Stegostoma tigrinum: one gene and its partner. Each later gene encodes a partner of the first gene's protein in a complex. Links are inferred from orthologs where the notes say so. Each region holds a gene or a part of one and is shown in the gene's direction. Other genes may lie near its edges.

Region 1 (7,745 bases):
AATTCCTTGCTGTTTTCTTTGGCTTTAATAACATGGGCTTGATCTAAGACAAGGATGTTGGGATTTAAAAGCAGTTGCCAATCCAAACAGACATCATTTAACAACTAGCCTTGAATTAACCTCAAACTGTGCCAGCTTACATCAATTTAGTACTGTGACTCTCAAGAACAGTTGGCCTAAACTCATCCCCATATCAATTGCAGGCAGCTTTCTTAACAGCATCCATTTTATACATATCAAGGCGAGCTATTGAGACCTAAATTTCCCCCTCAAACAGCAATATGATAATGACCTGAAAATTTCTGGGGTTTAGTTTTGGGATTTCAAAAGGAGACAAACATTGGCCAGGAAATATATAGAATCATAGAATGATACTACACAGAAAAAGGGTATTTGACTCATCATGCTGTACCATTCTTTAAAACTTATGAATTAGTCCCACTGGTCTCAATTTCCCCATAACCCTGTAAAACTTTTCACTTGAAGTGTTTATCTGATTTCCTTTTGAAATACCGTAAGGAAAAGGAGTAGGCTATTCAGCCCTTCAAGCCTGCTCTGCCATTTAATAGGATTGTGGTTGATCCATCACTCATGTCCATTTTTCTGCCCTTGATTCCCCAACTGATCAAAAATCTAGCTATCTATATATCTCAGCCTGAAATATACACGAGGACTCTGCCTCACAGCCCTCCGTGACAAGGAGTTCCAAAAACTCACTACCCACTGAGATAAGAAATTCCTCCCAAGAGAGAATACATCCTCTCAACATTTACCCTGTCAAGCCCCTTAAGAATCCCATTTATTTCAATGAGATCATCTCTCATTCTAAACTCCAGTGAGTAAAGTCTCAACCCGTTTAGCCTTTGGTCATAAGACAATCCCTCCATATCGGATCATCCTAGTGGACGTTCTCTGAACTGCTTCCAATAGTATATTTTCTTAAATGAGGGAACCAAAACTGCTCACAGTAGTCCAGATGTGGTCTCACTGGTAAACATGCAGTAAGACTCTTACACACCAAACCCCTTGAAATAATGGCCAAAATTCCACAAGCCTTCCGAATTACCTGCTGCACCTGTGTGTTAGTTTAAGATAACAGGGTGTAGAGTTGGATGCACACAGCAAGCCAGGCAGCAGAGGAGAAGGAAAGCTGATGCTTCAGGTCTGGACCCTTCTTCAGAAAATCAAGACCTTTTTGAAGAAGGGTCCAGACCTGAACCATTAGCTCTCTGTTCCTCTGATGCTGCCTGGCCTGCTGTGTTCATCCAGCTCTATACCTTGTTGGCTCAGACTCCAGCATCGGCAGTTCCTACTATCTGTGTCAACAAAGTGTGGAGCTGGATGAATATAGCAGGCCAAGCAGCATCTAGGGAGCACAAAAGCTGACGTTTTGGGCCTGCTATGTTCAGCCAGCTCACACTTTGTTATCTCAGATTCTCCAGCATCTGCAGTTCCCATTATCTCTGACCCCTACTATCTGTGTGCTAGTTTTCTGTGTTTAATGAACCAGTCTTGCCGAGTCCCTTTGTGTTGCAGCTTTCAGTGTTTTTTTCTCTTTCCATTTAAATAATATTATGCTCTTTGTTCTCCCTTCTAAAATGAACTTCACACGTACACACATTATCCTCCAACTGCTAAATTTTTGCCCATTTACTTGACCGATCAACACCTCTCTTGTATCGTTTGTGTACCCGTTGTAACCTGAGTTACCACCTATTTTGTGCTGTCTGCAAATTTGGCTGCAGTACATTCACTTCCTTCCTCAAGTCATTAATATATTGTAACAGTCACAGCATTGATATCCATAAAACCCCAGATATTACAAGTCACCAACACGAAAAAGAATCCCTTATCCCCACTAACTGCTTCTTTACCATTAGCCAAATCTCTGACAATGCTGTTGTACTACCTCCAATACCTTTTGTGAGGTACTTTGTCCGACAACTTCTGGAAGTCAAAATATAATGTTTAAACATCTTTCATCAGAGTGACTGCAGATGTAGCTGATTAAAATAATAAATGTGACATTTACCAAGCAAAAATCCAAACATATAATATTTTATTTTCTGAACATCTTTAGGTTACATCCCACCAACTACTCAGTTTCCCTGAAACATGAATTACAGTAATTATGCCAAAGTACTAAATAAAAATAAGGAAAAGCTTTAAAATAGGGGCTAAATTATAGAAGCTAGGATCAGAAGTAGTCCATTTGGCACTTTGGGCGTGCACCATCCTTCAATAAGACCATGGCTGATTCTCTATTTTACCACTTTCTCTCAATAAACCTTTCCATCTTTAATATCTAAAAGAAAGATCAGTTTCTATCTTGAGTATGCACAGCATCCAGGCCTCTCAGTCTTCTGAGGCTGACCATGCATTGACTGAAGAAATATTGCTCCATCTCAGTCTTACATTATATCCTGAGACTGTAACCCCCGGTTTTGGATGCCCCAGCCAAGGACACCGTTCCTGCAACTAGTCTGTCCAGCTCTGTTAGAATTTTATATGTTTCAATAAGATACCCTCTCATGCTTCTAAACTCAAGTGAACACAAGCCCAGTCAAATCAATCTCTTCTCATATTGCAGTCCTGCCATCCCCAATGCAGCCTGGTAAACCTTGGCTAAATTCCCTCCATGGTCAGTAGACCCTCTCTTTGGTAGAGAGAGCAAAACTACACAAAACACCACGTGTACTCTCACCAATGTCCGGCACAACTGCAGTAGGGCAGATTTTCGATGTGTTTGATTCACTTGCTATTTCTTTATTTCCTATTATAATTGCATTTATTTCTAATTGTTTGGGGCCGACATACACCTTCACTAATCTTTTCCTCTTTGTAAGTGTCCCATCTTTCACCTGATTAAGGCAGTTAGTCTTCATCTCCCCAACAGATAAATATTTTTAAGTAATACTACACAAAAAAAATTAAAATATAAAGAACAAATATTAATTTTATATTGGCAACTGAATTGCAGCTGCATGCTGAGGTCCTGCCCTATAATCCTACGTTCCCCTTCAACTGAACACAATTTGTGATCATTTCCAATGTGTAAAAATACTGGAAACTGACTGATATTAAATAATACATTGTATAATGCACTATTAATGATAAAACTGCCTATCCTGTGTACTTAAATCTGAAATCCTCTGGTCCATACACAATGTCAATAACACAGAATGTTACAGCATAGAAAGGAACCATTCAGCTCGTTTTGCCAGTACTTGTTATTTGGTTAGTTCCAACCTTCCAGCTTTTTCACATATTTTTGTCTTGTATTTTCCTATTAAAGTATTTATCCAGTTCCCTCGAAGACTATCATTGAATTGGATCAGCTCTTACTTAGTCAGAAGATTTTATCCTGCAGCAGGGCTTAAATACAAAATTCAAGGATAACACTCCTGTGCTGTACCAAGGAAGTGCTGTATAATTAGAGGAGTGATACTTCAGAAAAACACATTAAACGTTCCATCCCAGACAGGTGTAAAAGATCCTATTGCACTATTGTGTAGAACACAAACTCTCCCAATGCCCTGTCCAATATCTACCTTTCAACCCATTCTTTTCCTATGGCAAAAACAGAAAAGCCTGGAGAAACTCAGTAGGTCTGGCAGTGTCTGTGGTGACAGAAGCAGAGTTAATCTTTTGACTTAGATATGACTTCTTCAGTAAAACAGATTAACTTTTCATTATCTCATTGCTAAAATAAAACAAAGAATTGGCGCAGGAAATTGGAAGCAAAAAGAGAAATTGCTGGCAAAACTCTGCTTTCTCTCCTCAGATGCAGCCAGACCTGCAGAGTTTAACATTTCAAGTTCAGTAACCCTTCTTCAGAACTGGGTACAAGACTTCAACTTTGTTTCTCTCTCCACGGCTGCTGCCATACTAGCCAAATTTCTCCAGCAATTTTTGTTTCTATTATTTCATCACCATTTGTCGGAGATCAATGTGAGCAAACTGGCTACCACATGTTAGAAGTAACTGCACTTCAACAGTTGATTCACTGGCTTTAAAATGCTTGAAGATATGCTGTGGTCTTGGGGGTGCTACAGAAATGCAATCCTTTTACCTCACAACGCCCCTTTGAAAACTGCCAATGAGTCTATGCTTCCAGGTAATGAAACATTCAGCCTATCCTGAAGAAAGGTCACTGAACACGAAAGGTTAATTCTGCTTTCTGTCCAAAGATGCTGCCAGACCCTGCTGAGTTTCTCCAGCTGTTTCTGTCTTTGTTGCTGAAACATTCAGTTTAATTGGCATATGAAGGCTTTGGTTCATTTAAAAGAAATAAACGTTACTCCTTTTAAGTACCTTGACCAATACATGTCCCACGTCAGTGTTGCTGTTTGCCATGTTGTGGAGACAGTTCAGTTTCTGCCAGCTCTCACCATCCGTCCATTGCCTGTTGTCATCCACCTGGCCCTCCTGGGGTTCCCATGGCAACTGAACACAGCCTCTACCATATGAAAATAGGGAAATTACTAACTTAACGGTGAATAGAAAGTTACTCATTCTCAGCTCCAGCAATCCATTGTTCTAACAAGATACAACCTCTACAATGTTCTGAAATACCTCGTCACTCCTTGACTTTTTTTCTTGCTCACACTTGTAAGCGATGAAAGCCAGCGTTGAAACCCCCCCCAGCACAATGGTACATTCCACACCCCGAGGCCGAAAAGATTGAAAACCGAGGCTCCAGCAGGAGTAAAATGTGGCATTAGACGTGCCAGACTTAGATAGTATCTCCTGTATGGTGCGGTTTGGAGGGGAGGGGAAAGGGCAAGTTCCAGTACGAAGTGAAAGGCGTCTTTGACACCGGCGGCTGTTCGGGTGAGAGGTCAGAGTTCAGGGTCGGACTGGGCCGAGCCGAGTCGGGATGAAGGTTCCCAGCGTTTTGCTCGTCAGCTGCTGCCCGGGTTTTGTGGAGGAGACGCTAGTGAAAGGTGAGTGGAAGTACCAAGGCTGGGAAGGTAACGTGGCCTCCCGTGCACTTTGCCTCCCCGGGATGGAGGAGGCCTGACATCCCGACAGTCAAAAGCTGAGATAATAAAATGTGAGGCTGGATGAACACAGCAGGCCAAGCAGCATCTCAGGAGCACAAAAGCTGACGTTTCGGGCCTAGACCCTTCATCAGAGAGGGGGATGGGGGGAGGGGGAGGCGGACCGAAGATGGAGAGTAAAGAAGATAGGTGGAGAGAGTATAGGTGGGGAGGTAGGGAGGGGATAGGTCAGTCCAGGGAAGACGGACAGGTCAAGGAGGTGGGATGAGGTTAGTAGGTAGATGGGGGTGCGGCTTGGGGTGGGAGGAAGGGATGGGTGAGAGGAAGAACAGGTTAGGGAGGCAGAGACAGGTTGGACTGGTTTTGGGATGCAGTGGGTAGAGGGGAAGAGCTGGGCTGGTTGTGTGGTGCAGTGGGGGGAGGGGATGAACTGGGCTGGTTGAGGGATGCAGTGGGGGAAGGGGAGATTTTGAAACTGGTGAAGTCCACATTGATACCATATGGCTGCAGGGTTCCCAGGCGGAATATGAGTTGCTGTTCCTGCAACCTTCGGGTGGCATCATTGTGGCAGTGCAGGAGGCCCATGATGGACATGTCATCAAGAGAATGGGAGGGGGAGTGGAAATGGTTTGCGACTGGGAGGTGCAGTTGTTTGTTGCGAACTGAGCGGAGGTGTTCTGCAAAGCGGTCCCCAAGCCTCCGCTTGGTTTCCCCAATGTAGAGAAAGCCGCACCGGGTACAGTGGATGCAGTATACCACATTGGCAGATGTGCAGGTGAACCTCTGCTTAATGTGGAATGTCATCTTGGGGCCTGGGATGGGGGTGAGGGAGGAGGTGTGGGGACAAGTGTAGCATTTCCTGCGGTTGCAGGGGAAGGTGCCGGGTGTGGTGGGGTTGGAGGGCAGTGTGGAGCGAACAAGGGAGTCACGGAGAGAGTGGTCTCTCCGGAAAGCAGACAGGGGTGGGGATGGAAAAATGTCTTGGGTGGTGGGGTCGGATTGTAAATGGCGGAAGTGTCGGAGGATAATGCGTTGTATCCGGAGGTTGGTAGGGTGGTGTGTGAGAACGAGGGGGATCCTCTTGGGGCGGTTGTGGCGGGGGCGGGGTGTGAGGGATGTGTCGCGGGAAATGCGGGAGACACGGTCAAGGGCGTTCTCAATCACCGGGTGGAAATGGTTTGCGACTGGGAGGTGCAGTGGAAATGGTTTGCGACTGGGAGGTGCATCCACTCCCCCTCCCATTCTCTTGATGACATGTCCATCATGGGCCTCCTGCACTGCCACAATGATGCCACCCGAAGGTTGCAGGAACAGCAACTCATATTCCGCCTGGGAACCCTGCAGCCATATGGTATCAATGTGGACTTCACCAGTTTCAAAATCTCCCCTTCCCCCACTGCATCCCTCAACCAGCCCAGTTCATCCCCTCCCCCCACTGCACCACACAACCAGCCCAGCTCTTCCCCTCTACCCACTGCATCCCAAAACCAGTCCAACCTGTCTCTGCCTCCCTAACCGGTTCTTCCTCTCACCCATCCCTTCCTCCCACCCCAAGCCGCACCCCCAGCTACCTACTAACCTCATCCCACCTCCTTGACCTGTCCGTCTTCCCTGGACTGACCTATCCCCTCCCTACCTCCCCACCTACACCCTCTCCACCTATCTTCTTTACTCTCCATCTTCGGTCCGCCTCCCCCTCTCTCCATATTTATTCCAGTTCCCTCCCCCCATCCCCCTCTCTGATGAAGGGTCTAGGCCCGAAACGTCAGCTTTTGTGCTCCTGAGATGCTGCTTGGCCTGCTGTGTTCATCCAGCCTCACATTTTATTATCTTGGAATCTCCAGCATCTGCAGTTCCCATTATCTCTGATACTATTTTAACCCCCAGTCAAAAGCTGAGAGGCGGCCTCGGTATGACCGGCGCTGGGATGGTGATGTGGGAGGCCTCTTACCATGGGATGGGGGCGGGTCACTCCATTCCCCATTTATATTAACCCCCCCAATTGAATTACATTGAATCTGTTCCACTTCTGTGTATAATAACCTGGGCTGACGCTCCATGTAGAGCCTTGAGAGAGAGCTGCTTAGCTGAGACCCCATTTGCCCTCGAGTAGATGCAAAAGATGTGTTGGAGCAACTGCATTTTAAAAGACGGTGCGCTGGCCAGTATTTACAATTGAAATGATGCAGTACTGGTGGGAGCCGGCATAGTTTAATGTGTACTTAAGAAAAATGGACTTTAAAAGGAACTCCGTTTCAGGGAAGGTGAAACTTAGAGGGCTGGTCAGATGTACAAAGAAATAGCCAGCTCTAGAGATAACAACGGTAGGGGTGGAGGCTTCAGTGGCCAATGAGCTAAGACGGAGTTGATGCCGAACCGTGCTATGGAGATAGTAATAAGTGCCCTGAGTGATTCCATGGGTATGTGGTTGGAAGCTTAACGTCAGGTGTGATACTAATATTGCAAACTGCCTAGTTCACTCTCCTGTTTGCTGGGGGGAGGGATGGAGTTGGTAGTTAGGGAGCAGTTTGTCGTGGAGACAGAAGACATATAAAAGCAAAGTAATTTGCTGGATAGCTGAAATAAAAACAGAAAGTGCTGAAGAAACTCACCAGGTCAGGCAGCATCTATGGGGTGAGAAACAAAGTTTTTTTGAGTCTGTGACTTCCTCCAAATACAGACGACAGTGGCTTTGGTTTTCCCCATATTTGGGTGAAAGAACTTTCTTTTTGTCTATTAATG
Region 2 (7,548 bases), on another chromosome or scaffold:
TTTCCTGGATTATCCCTGTTGTCCTTCTAAAACAAAGGAACAACATTAACTTTTCTCCAGTCCTCTTTAGTCCTGTGACTAAAGAGGAATCAAAGATTTCATATAAGGTCCCAGAAATTTTCTCTCTTACCTCCCTCAGCTTTCTGGATAGATCCCTTCAAGTCCTGGGGACTTGTTTACCTTAATGATTTTCAAAACACCCAACACCTCCTCCTCTTTTATATTTACGTACCCTAGAATATCAACATACCCTTGTCTAAACTTATGGTCCACCGTGGCCTTCTCCTTTGTGAATATCAATGCAGGGTATTCATTAAAGGGCACACTCACATCCTCTAACTCCATGCATAAATTTCTTCCTGTATCTTTGTGCACTTGCCCATTCCCTAGCTATATTCTTGCTGAATTTTCCATAAATCTGTTTGCCAATGTCATTTCATGGTCCCTTTTAGCCCTCTGAACTCCTTGTTTTAGTTCTTTACTGTTTTCTTTATATTCTTCAGGGTTCTTACAGACTAGGTCAATTACAGACCAGTAAGTCTCACGTCTGTTGTCTGCAAGGTGTTAGAAAGGATTCTGAGGGATAGGATTTATGACCATCTGGAAGAGCATGGCTTGATTAAATGCAGTCAACACGGTTTTGTGAGAGGCAAGTCATGCCTCACAAACCTTATCGAGTTCTTTGAGGATGTGAAAAGTTGATGAGGGTCGAGCTGTGGATGTGGTGTATATGGACTTCAGCAAGGCATTTGATAAGGTTCCCCATGGTAGGCTCATTCAGAAGGTCAGGAGGAATGGGACACAGGGGAACTTAGCTGTCTGGATACAGAATTGGCTGGCCAACAGAAGGCAGCGAGTGGTAGTAGAAGGAAAATATTCTGCCTGGAAGTCAGTGGTGAGTGGTGTTCCACAGAGCTCTGTCCTTGGGCCTCTACTGTTTGTAATTTTTATTAATGACTTGGATGAGGGGATTGAAGGATGGGTCAACAAGTTGGCAGACGACACGAAGGTTGGAGGTGTGGTTTACAGTATAGAGGGCTGTTGTAGGCTGCAGTGGGACATTGACAGGATGCAGAGATGGGCTGAGAGTTGGCAGATGGAGTTCAACCTGGATAAATGCGAGGTGATGCATTTTGGAAGGTCAAATTTGAAAGCTGAGTACAGGATTAAGGATAGGATTCTTGGCAGTGTGGAGGAACAGAGGGATCTTGGTGTGCAGATACATCGATCCCTTAAAATGGCCACCCAAGTGGACAGGGTTGTTAAGAAAGCATATGGTGTTTTGGCTTTCATTAGCAGGGGGATTGAGTTTAAGAGTCGTGAGATCTTGTTGCAGCTCTATAAAACTTTGGTTAGACCGCACTTGGAATTCAGAAGGTCAGTTCTGGTCGCCCTATTATAGGAAAGATGTGGATGCTTTGGAGAGGGTTCAGAGGAGGTTTCCCAGGATGCTGCCTGGACTGGAGGGCTTATCTTATGAAGAGAGGTTGACTGAGCTCGGACTTTTTTCATTGGAGAAAAGGAAGGAGGAGCGGGGACCTAATTGAGGTATACAAGATAATGAGAGGCATAGATAGAGTTGATAGCCAGAGACTGTTTCCCAGGGCAGAAATGGCTAACACAAGGGGTCATAGTGGTTGGAGGAAAGTATAGAGGGGATGTCAGAGGCGGGCTCTTTACACAGAGAGTTGTGAGAGCATGGAATGTGTTGCCAGCAGCAGTTGTGGAAGCAAGGTCATTGGGGACATTTAAGAGACTGCTGGACATGCATATGGTCACAGAAATTTGAGGGTGCATACATGAGGATCAATGGTCTGCACAACATCGTGGGCTGAAGGGCCTGTTCTGTGCTGTACTGTTCTATGTTCTATGTTCTATCTGACTTCAGTTTCCTAAACCTTAGGTATGCTTCCTTTTTGTTTCTGACTAAGCTCGTAATTTCTCTTGTCACCCAAGATTCCCAAATTGTGACAATCTTATCCTTAATTTTCACAGGAACATGTTGGTCCTGAACTTGAATCAACTGGCCTTTAAAAGATTCCTACATAACAGATGTAGATTTACCATCGAATAAGCACCCACAATCGACAGTCCCCAATTCCTGCTTAATATCATCACAGTTAGCATTTCCCCAGTTTAGTACTTTTACCCAAGGACTATTCTTATCCTTATCAATAAGTAACTTAAAACTAACGGAATTATGATTCCCAAAATGCACCCCAACTCGAACTTTGATCACCTGCCAGGTTCATTCTTCAATATCAGGTCTAAAATGGCCCCTTCCGTAGTTGGACTATTTACATATTGCTTCAAGAAACCCTCCTGGACTAGTCTAACTAACACCTATCCAAGCCTCTGGCACTAAGGGAGTCCCAGTCAATACATATACAAACTTAAAACCTCCCACTGCAACAACCCTGATGTCTTCACATTTCTCCATAATCGGTACACAATTTTGTTTCTTCACCCACTGGTTACAGACAGCATGTAGTACAACCCTGTCATAGTGATTGCACCCTTCCTATTTCTGAGCTCTACTCATATGGCCTCGTTGAATGAGCGCTCCAACGCCTCCTCTCTCAAAGTAGTTGTGATATTCTCTCGACTCAATACTGCAACTCCTCCACCTCTTTCACGCCCCTGTCAATCTCACCTGAAACATCCAAATCCTGGAACATTAAGCTACCAGTCTTGTCCCTCTCGTAATCAAATCTCTGAAATAACTACATAAATAACTATATGATAAGTTCATTTGCCTTACCTGTAATACATTTTACGCTAAAGCTAATGCACCTCAGACAGCCAGCCTCCACAATATCCTCTTCCTGCCTGTTCTTTTGCATAGCTTTACTCTCAAACTTCTTGGTTATTTCACTTGATGAATTACTGCCTTGATTTCCGCCCTGCTGCCTTACTAGTTTAAACCCTCTTGAGTGACAATACTGCCAAGTCTCCCTGGCAGTAAACTGGATCCCCTCCAGTTTAGGTGCAACCTGTCCTTCTTATATTGCTTCCACCTGCCCTGGAAGACATCCCAATGACCAACATATCAGAAGCCCTCTCTCCTACACCAGCCCATTCACCATATTTTTAACTGTACTCTCATCCTATTCCTAGTCTCACTGGCACATGGCACAGGGGATAATTCTGACATTACAACCCTAGAGATCCTGCTTTTCAACTTACTTCCTAACTTCCTGAACTCCCTTTTCAGAACCTTCCTGCCATTGTCATTAGTACCAATATGTGCCATGAGCACAGGCTGCTCGCTCTCCCTTTTGAGAATGTCCTGTATGCCCTCAGAGAATCCATGACCCTGGCATCAGGTGCTGGTGTAGGGGGGGAAACAACACACTATTGTGGGGAGTCCCTTTCGCTCCACAGAAGTGCCTATCTGTGCCCCTTAATTTGTGAACACCTTAATGGGAACACCAATGGCTTGCAAACTCAGCCAAATCGAGCTCCTGGGAAGTGTTTATTGTACCCCATTTTCAAAGTTTAGTAGACTACCACAATGTGAAGGATTCATAGGTTACACCTGTGTTGTTATACTTGCTTCCTTCTTTAGCTATGCCACCAACTATGTAATGGGAAAAGACTTTGCTCTTTCAATATTTGACTTGTTTGGAATTAGCAGAACTCGGACAGGCAAATGATCCCTTACATTCATGGCAGCTTGCCCTCATGTTTTGTTTCCATCACTTCCAGTGCACTGTTCTGTCTCCCAGAACTCAACAACCTTCACCATTTTGTGGGTAAAGTGGTGGAGCACAATGTCCCTTCAACTTTTCTCATCCTGATGGCCTGCCATCATTTTCAAAAAGAATGAAGCAGTAATTGTATTTTGGGCCCTGTACAAATCAAATGACTACATGCTAGACTGGTTAAAATGTTCATTTTTAAGGAATGCTTTAATGACTGAAAGAGAGGTAGAGAGAATCCGTAAGGGAATTGTCCAGCTTAGGATTTTGACAGTTGAAGGTAGAGCACTATTTAAAATCAGGTAGACTCAAGAAAACTGAATTGATGTAGTGTTGAGATCGAGATCTTAAGGGCACATGGATGAAAAAGATCATAGCAATTGAGCGAATAGATTCACTTGGAACAATTTGGAAACAGGAATGAAGTTAAGATTGATCAGGACATTGAGCAACTAAAATAATACAAAGGCATATAAATGTAATTAAGTACATTTATAAATAACATAGCATATAGAATATTTTACATTCATTTGCTTGACAGAAGTTTTTACTGAACTGTAGAATTTTAAAATCGTCATTACATAACTTGTCACACTCAAAGAATAACTAATAAATTAAATGGTAATATATTTTTTGCAAGCTTAATAAGATTTTGTCTGTCCTACATGTGTAACACATGAAATATTAATGGCTCAATGAACTGTACAATGAAACAATAAAGTAGTAAAGATTCTCTAAACTGCTGTTTTAATGCAGGTTAATATGTAATCCCAGGGCAGGGAGGAGCCTTAAACACACAGAATTGTGGGATAACTACTATAGGTTCCTGAATGCAAGCTTCCCAGGAAATGTTTTGTGTTCAGATTTTGAGGTTAAATCCATCCATCCATCTTTTGCTTTAAGGCAGAATGGTAAGTTTTTTTCTTAAAAAAATGCATTTTTTTTTCTTAGGAGTGTCTTAGATCTAATTACAGAGTAATGTTGGCAAGCGTAGATATCAGTTACTTCACCTGTTTCTGCAGGTGAAAATACAAGTACTCACCTGGCCTATATTGAAAAGAATAGTTTAGTAATATTTAGTTTAAAACACTTACTGTGCTTTAAATAAACAGATTAGGCAATATACTATGTAAAATATTAAAGGCTATAGTTTACAAGATTTTGAAGTCAATTATACAGGCAGTATTATAACTCTATTAGCTACCTTTGTATTTAACTAATCAGGTTTGAAGGCATTGCTGAGATTAGAGTGGAGATTTAGTTTATTTGAATCAAAATCATTACTCAAAACGATTTTATACTAATGGTAAATAACCCATAATGCAGCGGCTGTCTCATTTTAAAATAAAGACCAAATGCTGGAAATCTGAAACAAAAACAGAAAAGCATTTGATGGTTAAAAGTTAGAATTCCAAATGCAAACCTAGAATCTAAACAAAAGGGAGAAAAGCCTTTTTAGAAATGAGAAACCAGTCCAACAAAGTGATTTTTGTATGACAAGCAGGACATTTAAAACTCCATGAAAATGTAGGAAATAGCGAGTTTTGAGAAGATTTGTAGCTCAGGTTGAGTTTCTGGATGTGAGTTTGCTCGCTGAGCTGGAAGGTTAGTTTTCAGACGTTTCGTCACCTTTTTTTTCTATTTGAAAAAATATACTTTATTCATAGAATGTGCAAAAAATAAAACATTTATACACCTACCCAGTCATGCAAGCCACTCCGGGTTACCCAGGGGGTACGTACACCAACTAAAGGAAAAAACAAAAGAGAGAAAAAAAACACAAAGCAAAGAAACCGCCCCGGCAGTCGTCACCCCGCACAGTCCCAGTTGGCCCCCTGACCAGTTGGGGAAGGCGCCAGCTGGGCCCAGTTACCAGATAGGGCCCTTTTTTCTATTCTGGACGAGGGGTTTCATACCGTGGTCTTTCCCCACCGCGCCTTGGCGGTGGCTGCCCCAAGCTTTAGCGCGTCCCTCAGCACGTAGTCCTGGACCTTGGAGTGCGCCAGTCTGCAACACTCGGTCGGGGTCAGTTCTTTCAGCTGGCAGACCAAGTTGCGGGCAGACCAAAGAGCGTCTTTCACCGCATTGATGGTCCTCCAGGTGCAGTTGATGTTGGTCTCGGTGTGCGTCCCCGGAAACAGCCCGTAGAGCACGGAGTCCCGCGTCACAGAGCTGCTCGGGATGAACCTCGACAAATACCACTGCATCCCCCTCCAGACCTCCTGCGCATAGGCACACTCCAGAAGGAGGTGATCGACAGTCTCGTCCCCCCTGCAGCCACCTCAAGGGCAGCGAGCGGTGGTGCAGAGATTCTGGGCGTGCATAAAGGATCTCACTGGCAGAGCCCCTCTTACCGCCAGCCAAGCAATGTCCTTGTGCTTGTTTGAAAGTTCTGGCGATGAGGCATTCTGCCAAACGACTTTGGCAGTCTGCGTGGGGAACCACACGACGGGATCCACCCTCTCTTTTTCCCGAAAGGTCCCAAGGATACTACGTGCTGACCACTGCCTGACGGCCTTGTGGTCAAAGGTGTTTCCTTTCAAAAATTTCTCCACGAAGGACAGGTGGTACGGAACGGTCCAACTACTCGGAGCGTTCCGCGGCAACGAGGCCAGGCCCATCCTTCGCAACACCGGGGACAGGTAGAACCTCAGTAAGTAGTGACACTTGGTGTTTGCATACTGAGGATCTACGCACAGCTTGATGCAGCCGCACACAAAGGTAGCCGTCAGGGCGAGGGTGGCGTTCGGTACACCCTTTCCCCCATTTCCCAGGTCTTTGTACATGGTGTCTCTGCGGACCCGGTCCATCCTCGACCCCCAAATGAAATGGAAGATGGCCCGGGTGACCGCAGCGGCGCAGGTCCAGGGAATAGGCCAGGCCTGCGCCACATACAACAGTACCGAAAGCCCCTCGCACCTGACAACCAGGTTCTTACCCGCGATGGAGAGGGACCGGAGCGTCCAACTGCCCAGCTTCTGCTTCAATTTGGCGATACGCTCCTCCCAAGTCTTAGTGCATGCCCCAGCTCCACCAAACCAAACACCCAGCACCTTCTGGTAGTCTGTCCTGACGGTGAAGGGGATGAAGGAGCGGTCATCCCAGTTCCCGAAGAACATGACCTCGCTCTTACCCCTATTGACTTTGGCACCCGAGGCCAGTTCAAACTGGCCGCAGATGTCCAATAGTCTACTCACCGACTGACGATCGGTGCAGAAGACGGCGACATCGTCCATGTACAGGGAGGTCTTGACCTGAAGGCCTCCGCTGCCTGGGATAGTCACGCCCTTCAGGCTCACGTCCTTCCTGATGGAGGCGGCGAAGGGCTCCACACAGCACACGAACAAGGCAGGAGAGAGCGGGCAGCGCTGCCTGACTCCAGATCTAACAGGAAAACTGTCTGATTCCCACCCGTTGATCGGGACTGCGCTAACGATGTTGGCGTAGAGCAGCTGGATCCAATTGCGGATGCCCTCCCCGAACCCCAATTTGGAGAGGACGTCCCTCATGTAAGCATGAGAGACCCTGTCGAAGGCCTTCTCCTGGTCCAGGCTGACGAGGCAGGTGTCCACCCGCCTGTCCTGTACGTAGGCGATCGTATCCCTGATGAGCGCGAGGCTCTCAGCGATCTTCCTGCCTGGCACAGCACAGGTTTGGTCAGGGTGAATCACTGACTCCAGGACAGACCTGACCCGGTTGGCAATGAACTTGGCCAGGATTTTATAGTCCATGTTCAAAAGTGAAATAGGACGCCAATTCTTAATTTCTTCCCTCTCCCCCTTCCTCTTGTAAATGAGGGTGATGATGCCCTTCCTCATGGACTTGCACATTTCCCCTGCCCGAAGCG

The links.
Region 2: the proteins of aagab (region 1) and ap1s3a are in contact, whole or in part, in a crystal structure (PDB 9DDT), measured with the Homo sapiens proteins. The link is inferred for Stegostoma tigrinum from reciprocal best matches to the Homo sapiens genes AAGAB and AP1S3. Residues at the interface, in NP_078942.3 of Homo sapiens: Asn51, Lys52, Tyr53, Tyr54, Glu108, Val109, Met110, Ile111, Gln128, Ile132, Gly135, Phe136, Glu137, Asp151, Phe153, Pro154, Glu155, Arg161, Gln164, Ala165, Asn167, Ala168, Asn169, Val170, Met176; in NP_001034658.1 of Homo sapiens: Arg10, Gln11, Lys13, Arg15, Gln37, Leu40, Ser41, Arg61, Tyr62, Ala63, Ser64, His85, Val88, Asp92, Phe95, Val98, Glu100, Leu101, Asp102, Ile104, Phe105, Asn106.

What each region holds. Positions count from the first base shown.
Region 1 is NC_081386.1:30,744,861-30,752,605, forward strand, and holds the start of aagab (alpha- and gamma-adaptin-binding protein p34), read left to right. Parts: upstream 1-4,672; 5' UTR 4,673-4,879; coding exon 4,880-4,946; intron 4,947-7,745. Other genes in the region: iqch (IQ motif-containing protein H), read right to left, coding at 4,315-4,356. UniProt on the Homo sapiens protein: May be involved in endocytic recycling of growth factor receptors such as EGFR.
Region 2 is NC_081367.1:24,074,450-24,081,997, reverse strand, and holds the start of ap1s3a (AP-1 complex subunit sigma-3a), read left to right. Parts: upstream 1-4,502; 5' UTR 4,503-4,609; coding exon 4,610-4,612; intron 4,613-7,548. UniProt on the Homo sapiens protein: Subunit of clathrin-associated adaptor protein complex 1 that plays a role in protein sorting in the late-Golgi/trans-Golgi network (TGN) and/or endosomes.